2 linked regions of the Drosophila melanogaster genome follow. The protein of the gene in region 2 purifies or fractionates together with the protein of the main gene of each other region. This does not show direct contact. Each region holds a gene or a part of one and is shown on either strand. Other genes may lie near its edges.

Region 1 (3,965 bases), on a different chromosome or scaffold from region 2:
GGCTGCAAGTGCGCGATGAACAGATCCAGCTGCTGCAGCAGGCGCGATCGCGTCACTCGATCCGTGGAAGCGAACAGTTTGACCACGCAGGGCACAATGCGTTTCTGGTACTCCACCTCGTCCAGCAGTTTGCCCAGCTGCAAGATTATAACTCTTTGTGAAATCAAGTCATATAGGAGTATGCCAATTCAATAGACAACCTTAAACATGGGAGCCAGCACGGCAGAGCCCGCATCTCCGTACTCGTAGGCTGTTATCAGCTGTGGAAGAATCTTATGCCTGCACACGTTGTCCGGAAAGTTGTCGAGATGCGTGGTCAGACCACTGAAGAAGCGATTCTTCTCCGCCTTGTCCTTGATTTGGATCTCCTCTAGGAAGAGCAGTGTGTCCACCAAATCGTTTTTGAAAAAGCCTCCAGGCTTGCGGCAACGTGTGATTATATCCGCCGGGTTGGGACGATTCGAAGGCGAGGCGCCAACCAGCTCACAATAGAGCGATTGCAGGGACTTGGGTATGTGTTCTATATCCTTGAGGTTGGAGCGTTGCTTGAGCACACCGTTGAAAGCTTCCCACACGAGGCAGCCCAGGCCCCACATGTCCACGGAGCTGGTAGAGAATCCGATTTGAAGGATTATTAAAATAGTCTAAGGTGAGAGGATTACGTACCATTTGGTGGCCGCCTTGAGCTTGCTCGGATCGTTCTTTTCGGGGGAATCGTAGACCTCCAGGGTCACAGGTATTTTGGCGGGCGGCATGGGATTACCATCCGCCGCTGAGACGTACTCCAGGCTGCCCAGTTTCCATTCGCCGGAGGCATTGACAAACACCGACCAGGCGGAAACATTGTTGTGTCGCAGATTGCCATCGTTGTTGAGAAAGGACAGGGCGCGCTGAAAGGGATTGGTGACTTGGTTAGCTAGGGCAAAATATCAGGGATATGGATACCCACAGTGATCTGGAAGATGCCCCAGGCCAGGTAGAGGCCCTTTTGGACATTGTCGCTGCCCAGCTTGGAAAAGTAAGTGCCCAGCGGATCCACCGCCTCGGTGGCCACGTACAACATCTTGTCCGTTTCCAGCGAGTCCAGATACTGCAGGATGCTGGGGTGACGCAATGTCTTGAGGCGCTTCAGCGCCGCCTTGGCCAGCTCGCACTTGGTGTCGGATCCGCTACGGATGTCGTAGACGAACACAGACACCTCCTCCAGCGTCGTCTTGCGCTTGGCCTTGTGCAGCGTCCATATGGAGTATTGGTCAAAGCCGCCCACCGGTTCGCCAATGTCGTAGGGGAAGTCTTTCGAGGAGTCGCGCGAGAAGAACGACCACATTATGTGTTTTGCTCGGCGGCTCAATATTTTGTTACTGTTGTGTCACACAGCAACAGCAACAACAACAGCAACAACTGGCGATTGCAACTGCAACAACAACGCACTGCGCAGGCAACACACGCACGCACACACGCACGCACGCACTCACACACACGCACACCTTGTTGCTGCCACACAAAGGCACTGAAATCGGTGGAGCCCCGATTCTCGGTTTATCCTCAAGCACTATGCCTCTGTCTTTAGCCTTGGCTTGAGCCCTATCCTCCTCATGCCAATCCAGCCGCCTGATGTCCTTTATTTTCCTCCGATGCGCAGCAACAATTTTCCAGCTTTGCTTACGCACACACACACGCACACAGCTAACTTATCCGCTGTTTTTCGTCCCCAGAGGTCTCATCCCTGGGATCCCGGGTGTCCTGGACAGGGCGATCGTGTCTATGTGGCTCTGCTGCGGGTCGGGGGAGTCAGTAGATCGGATCGGGCGCTCGTCTCCGTCGAATTATCCTAATCTTTTTCCCGAGTACGTCAGCTTTTTTTTGCGTGAGGCGTTAGTGACGGAACTTCGTGGCTCGTGCGTGAGCAGCTGATTCCAAAACAGAGCTGGCAAGGAGAAGGAAAACTCTGGTCGAGGGTAGAAAACAAGCTGGCATCTTTGGCAAACCTCTTAATCCTTATCAATTATTATTCTGTTTTTAACTCTATTGTCATAATTATGAGTTACATAAATTCAAATTAATTTCAAGCTTTATTGTGCATTCTGAAGCTTTCCAAAGAAGTTTTGTATTTTATCCAATATTAATAGTTATATGTAGCACAAATCCATTATCCGAAATTTCCATAATTAAAATAAATTATTTAATATAATATTTTACCGTTCACCACGAATCGCCACCGCGTTAACCCGAACTGGGTGGCAACTCTGCTCGGTGTTATAACACTCGTTGTGGCGCAGCCAACTTAACGCAAGGTAGGTGAATTTTCTCAATTTTTGCCGAGTGAATCGAGCTAATTTTCGCGACAGGGAATCTTCGACAACTCACAGGATGATGATGCAACGCACCCAGCTCCTGCTGCCCCTGGCCATGGAGGCCACCATGCTGGCCCAGCAGCAGCGTGGCATGGCCACCCTGAAGATGATTTCCATCCGCCTGAAGTCGGTGAAGAACATTCAGAAAATTACGCAATCGATGAAGATGGTGTCCGCTGCCAAGTACGCTCGTGCCGAGCGAGACTTGAAGGCGGCTCGTCCTTACGGCATCGGCGCCCAGCAGTTCTTCGAGAAGACGGAGATCCAGCCGGACGAGAAGGCGGAGCCCAAGAAGCTGCTCATCGCAGTGACTTCGGACCGTGGTCTTTGCGGTGCCGTCCACACTGGTGTGGCCCGTCTCATTCGCGGCGAACTGGCCCAGGACGAGGCCAACACTAAGGTGTTCTGCGTGGGCGACAAGTCGCGCGCGATTCTGTCCCGTCTGTACGGCAAGAACATCCTGATGGTGGCCAACGAGGTGGGCCGACTGCCCCCCACTTTCCTGGACGCCTCGAAGATTGCCAACGAGGTTCTGCAGACCGGTTACGATTACACCGAGGGCAAGATCGTGTACAACCGTTTCAAGTCGGTGGTGTCCTACCAGTGCTCCACCCTCCCCATCTTCAGCGGATCCACCGTGGAGAAGTCGGAGAAGCTGGCCGTCTACGACTCGCTCGACAGCGACGTGGTCAAGAGCTATCTGGAGTTCTCGCTGGCCTCGCTCATCTTCTACACCATGAAGGAGGGCGCCTGCTCGGAGCAGTCCTCCCGTATGACTGCCATGGACAACGCTTCCAAGAACGCCGGTGAGATGATCGACAAGCTGACCCTCACCTTCAACCGTACCCGACAGGCGGTCATCACTCGCGAGCTGATTGAAATCATCTCCGGTGCCGCCGCCCTCACATAAGCGAATGGAATGTGTTCGAACAGCTCTAACGATTCATACAGCTAATTGCATATGGTGCCAGGCACCTGGAGCTACGCCTGGAGCCCTAGTAATGTTACTCTTTCAGAAAAACCCCAGAATAAATAGCGTGGAACGAACGAAAATAACTTTAACCATGGAGTCCTTACCTAATTGGAGTGGGAGGCAAGGAATTTGAAAGCACTTGCACAGGTCTGTTTGGTTTTTACACATTGATATCATGGGATTCGATTGCATTCTTATGCAAAGACCCATTGATATAACTTAATGTGCATAAAGTCTCAAATTTCAAGTGGCAATGACTAATGACCAAAAAACTATTGGAACGTTTATGTATATTTTGATACTCTTTAAACTTTCAGAAATTGGTGGTATCTACACTTTGTGCTTATCTATGGAATTAAGGCGTGGGATTTCAATGGGATGCTTCTTCGTTGCCTAGCACATATTCTGCAGCACATTCAGTATGTAGGCTCCAATGTCCTCGTCCTGGTTGGTCCACGATATCAAAATGTTCTTCTGCTTGGGATCCTTCTCGTCCTCCTCCACCTTCACCTCAACGGATTCGATGGCTATGGAGCCGTTCTCCTGCATCGTCACCGTCCAGCCGGCTAGCTTTTCTTCGAGCAGAGTCTTCAGTCTTTCGCTTGTGCGAATGACCGGTCCGGAGTCGTCCATTTTGA
Region 2 (3,818 bases):
AACAACCATTTGTTGAAACGCCTCGATAAGTTGAAAAACGCAAAGAGTGCCATTCTAAAGGACTTATGATCTAAGATGGGAAATGCAATCTCGCCAACCATTGAAGGATCGCACCCGATGACATAGGAAACGCAAGTACACGACATCATCAACACACAAATCAACATGCTGCAATTGAAATAGCACTTCGGTAGCAATTTAATCGGTCTTAGTGGTAGCAAATCGATAATTTTTGAAGGATAATCCAAAATACTCTACCTTAAAAATATATATATATATATATTTAAATTAAAATATAAACTAACTGGATAATAATTAACATAAATAATGTCTATATGTGTATATTTAAAGCGCAAAATATAAGTAACAATTCAATTGGTTCAGCATTATGTGTATAAAATCATTCTATACAAATATGCGTTGACAAAATTATAGCAAGAAACCTATCACTGATCCCAATTAAAAGGCTTCTGGTGAACCTGACCAATAGTTCTTTTCAAAATTACAATATTCTATTGAGTCTATATTTAAATCTTTGCTAGAAGTCCGTTTCATCGGTCGCGATCTCTAAACGGAACGCCCAAATAAATGCCACATTTAAGAACAATTAAAATCATCGTGTTTAAATAAATTACATTTATTTAATTTTATTTATTTTTCATGATTTTACAACATTGCAGCTTCGGCGGATCTTAGTTGTTGCGAATCATTCTCGAGTGGCCACTGAAAAGCATCTAGGATTCCGATTGGGTTTGACGCTCTGCGGACAGAAAAATGGCAATAATCAGCATTTGCTTTGGATAATAGTTTTTCATCACAAAGAAATAGTTAATAGTTGGTCGCTTGTAAACTTTTGGGGCGGGCAATTTTGGGATATATATATGTATATTAATATAAACATTATATTATATGTAAACACATCGCATTTGCATGCAGATCAGCTTGTAAGCGTAGTTAGAAACTTTGGGAACAAAGTTAGATACATAAACTGTCGTTGAGTTTAATGCGAACGCTGGGATAATTTGGGTTTTGTCTGCCGCGGCAGGCACTTACGCCAGTTTTTAAATTATTAATTTGACGATGGAACACCTAAGCCCTTTCATCTGAAAAATATATTCAAATATGACGCAATATGAAACATAAATTCTATTACTTTATGGAGCGTTTGTCTTGAAGGAATGGTAAGCAATTTTGCCTAATTTTGTTTCGATATTCCAATAAGTTACGAAAATTTTGAAATTAAAGTTTTAGAAATGGTTTGGATGAGTATGAACGCTTCAATGTTGATGATCAGGATTTAAACAGATTGCAAATATATATGATATATGCAATAATATACGAATATCTATAGATGGGAACAGTTTTTACACGCGATATTACGCCTGTAAATTGGCAACATTTTCGGAGTAAAGTGGGAACACGAGTGAACCGTTCATTTTTCGGTATTTTTCACATTGCCATTTCGAAACGGGGCTTTTTTCCGAAACTTTTGGGTAGAATACCGTGTGGAAACCACTTGTGGATGACTTCGAAACATTCCTAATAACACATTGATAACGGTTTCCCCTTGGATTTCGAATTATCCGGAGTTAATTTATATAATGGCTGCTATTTGGCCGTCTAAAGTATTATGATACGTACGAGCTGGCTTGCCATTTGCCCAGGGAGTGAACTTCACATGGCTCGCGTCGCGCTTGGCGGCATCCGCACGCAGTCCCGTCTTCAAGGACTCGCGCAAAATGCGAGCGGCGATGTTGGAGTATTGGATGTAGCTGCAATCGGTAATATTTGGATTAATTATGTTATGTAATCGGGCAGCAAAGGCGTTTTTATTTGCATGAGAATGCTGCCACAACACAGCTGGTGTGGCAGGCACTTATACAATGCTTACGTAATTCCGGCAGCTCTCCAGGCAGTCATTGTGATCGGTTTATTCGAAATATATTCACGCTACACAAAAAATATATAAGATATTCCCTTTCTGAATCCGGTCAGTGTGGCCAACTAGTTTTTGAGAGTTAAGTCAGAAATATACCGTCGATTGTCGCACATATACCTTAAATACTAGCTTACGCGCGTCAAGATAGCGACGACGACTGTGACTTCTGTTATTGAACATACACACTGTTAGTAACATTTGTTATCGATATCCAAACTCAAACTTTTCAATATTTAAAAATCTAATTTACTTATTTTTCTTCCTTTGGGAAAAACCCTAATAAATATGGATATGCCAAACTGTTTTATTCGAAAGAACGAAGCTTGTTACTTATTCATGCCTACACAAATAATTAAGCAGACATTGTTTAACGTGCCTTGCATAAAGCATTTCAAGAAAAATTGTTACATTAAACCATCAACTTAAAAAAAATATTCCCCAATTTTCCTTGAAATTTGTTTTTAGTTCTAGGCTAATTAATCAAATAACCACCAATGCACCCAAAATAGGATAAGCTAAGGATATATTAGATTATTTATTTATCATTGACTTTAAGTTAGACTTTACAGATAATATTTTAAAACTTAACAGAAGAAAACACTTAAGTTCTAATTAAATGTGTATATATACAGAACAAAAATTTCTTTAATATTCTTTAACGCATTAAAGAATCGATCTGACAAGTAATTGCTGATTTTATTTAGTTTTTCGGTAGACGCACACTTAAAAGCAGAACGCAATGGGAAAATTACTTATTCTTGCACATAATTAGTTTTCAATATTTTCGACATATTTGAAATAAGTGTTGTAATTACCCATTCTCTAATTAGGTTAACAAGTCCGGTTTCTAAAAGCAATTAGCATTGTATTCGTATATTACATGTTATAAATATGCAGTCTAGCAACTTTAATACAGAGTATACGCATTTTGCACATGCTCATGAATTCCTGTGTGGTATATATATAAAATATATATTGTATGTACATTAATAGTTGAAACAAAGCGCCTTGTTGATCCAGACATACATTATTATAGTTTAATAAATATACTTCTGACTGCACAAAAATGTAATTTATACATTCATATTTGTTTTTATTTCGGTTGTGGGTGTTTTTTTTTTTTTCTTTTTTCTTTTAATGCAAATTAGTTTAAATATTACGCTATTATATAATAATTTAGTTACAAAATAGAGCAATTTGTCGAACAGCATCGTCCAGAACCGCCTTTACTATTTTGTCTTTGATCTAAAAGAGGAGGAAAATTCAGTAAGATGTTTTTCGTATGCATTGCGAATTTAAATTTGAGCAGCTCTTTATAATTGAAACCATATTTCTTTTTTTTTTTTTTTTTTGAAAACCTACCTTGTGAATTGGGCTCTGGCAAATTATCACGTGGCACTAAATGCATAACAGTCGTTTTGCCTAATGGAAGTCCCAGTGCTCCTAAGGTTACATTGCAATGAAGAAAACGACCTTGATAAATTAAGCGCAAGATTTCGGCTTTCGACACAGTTTCGTGGGTCCAATCTGCAAGATATATGCACAATAATGTATTACATGGGTTTTCGCATCAAAAGTCTAACTCTAAAAGCAAAACAACTAAGAAAGAATTGATTTTAGAGGCCAACAAGCTGACAATATTTAAACAAACTTCAAAAGTCGCATTTATTTGAAATATCCAATAGATGCCATAAATATTAAATATTTCGTGGGTTGTATCCTTGTATCCTTGTGACTATGATTAAAGCGTTCTCAAAATAAATGCAGTTCACGCGAAAGGGTCAATAGCATGCCATTTAGAAGAAATATGTATATTTCACTCTATTTGTATTACGTAGCTTACATACTTAATCGTTAGTGATTAAAAATCATTCGCCGA

The links. The genes of interacting proteins can lie anywhere in the genome.
Region 1: the proteins of sun (region 2) and ATPsyngamma purify together in Drosophila melanogaster (affinity purification with mass spectrometry, with the first as the bait; one large-scale study listed by BioGRID). This does not show direct contact.

The regions. Positions count from the first base shown.
Region 1 is NT_033777.3:29,747,153-29,751,117, reverse strand, and holds ATPsyngamma (ATP synthase, gamma subunit), read left to right. Parts: upstream 1-1,954; 5' UTR 1,955-2,294; exon of another isoform or gene 2,295-2,348; 5' UTR 2,349-2,370; coding exon 2,371-3,264; 3' UTR 3,265-3,403; downstream 3,404-3,965. Other genes in the region: yata, read right to left, coding at 1-137, 201-606, 667-890, 950-1,327; IntS11 (integrator 11), read right to left, coding at 3,721-3,965. UniProt on the Drosophila melanogaster protein: Mitochondrial membrane ATP synthase (F(1)F(0) ATP synthase or Complex V) produces ATP from ADP in the presence of a proton gradient across the membrane which is generated by electron transport complexes of the respiratory chain.
Region 2 is NC_004354.4:15,847,245-15,851,062, forward strand, and holds sun (stunted), read right to left. Parts: upstream 2,015-3,818; 5' UTR 1,921-2,014; coding exon 1,892-1,920; intron 1,773-1,891; coding exon 1,642-1,772; intron 1,104-1,641; coding exon of another isoform or gene 1,090-1,103; exon of another isoform or gene 1,054-1,089; intron 761-1,053; coding exon 735-760; 3' UTR 615-734; downstream 1-614. Other genes in the region: CG8578 (uncharacterized protein), read left to right, coding at 1-69; UBL3 (ubiquitin like 3), read right to left, coding at 3,120-3,184, 3,302-3,466. UniProt on the Drosophila melanogaster protein: Activates the G-protein coupled receptor mth in vitro, leading to increased intracellular calcium ion levels.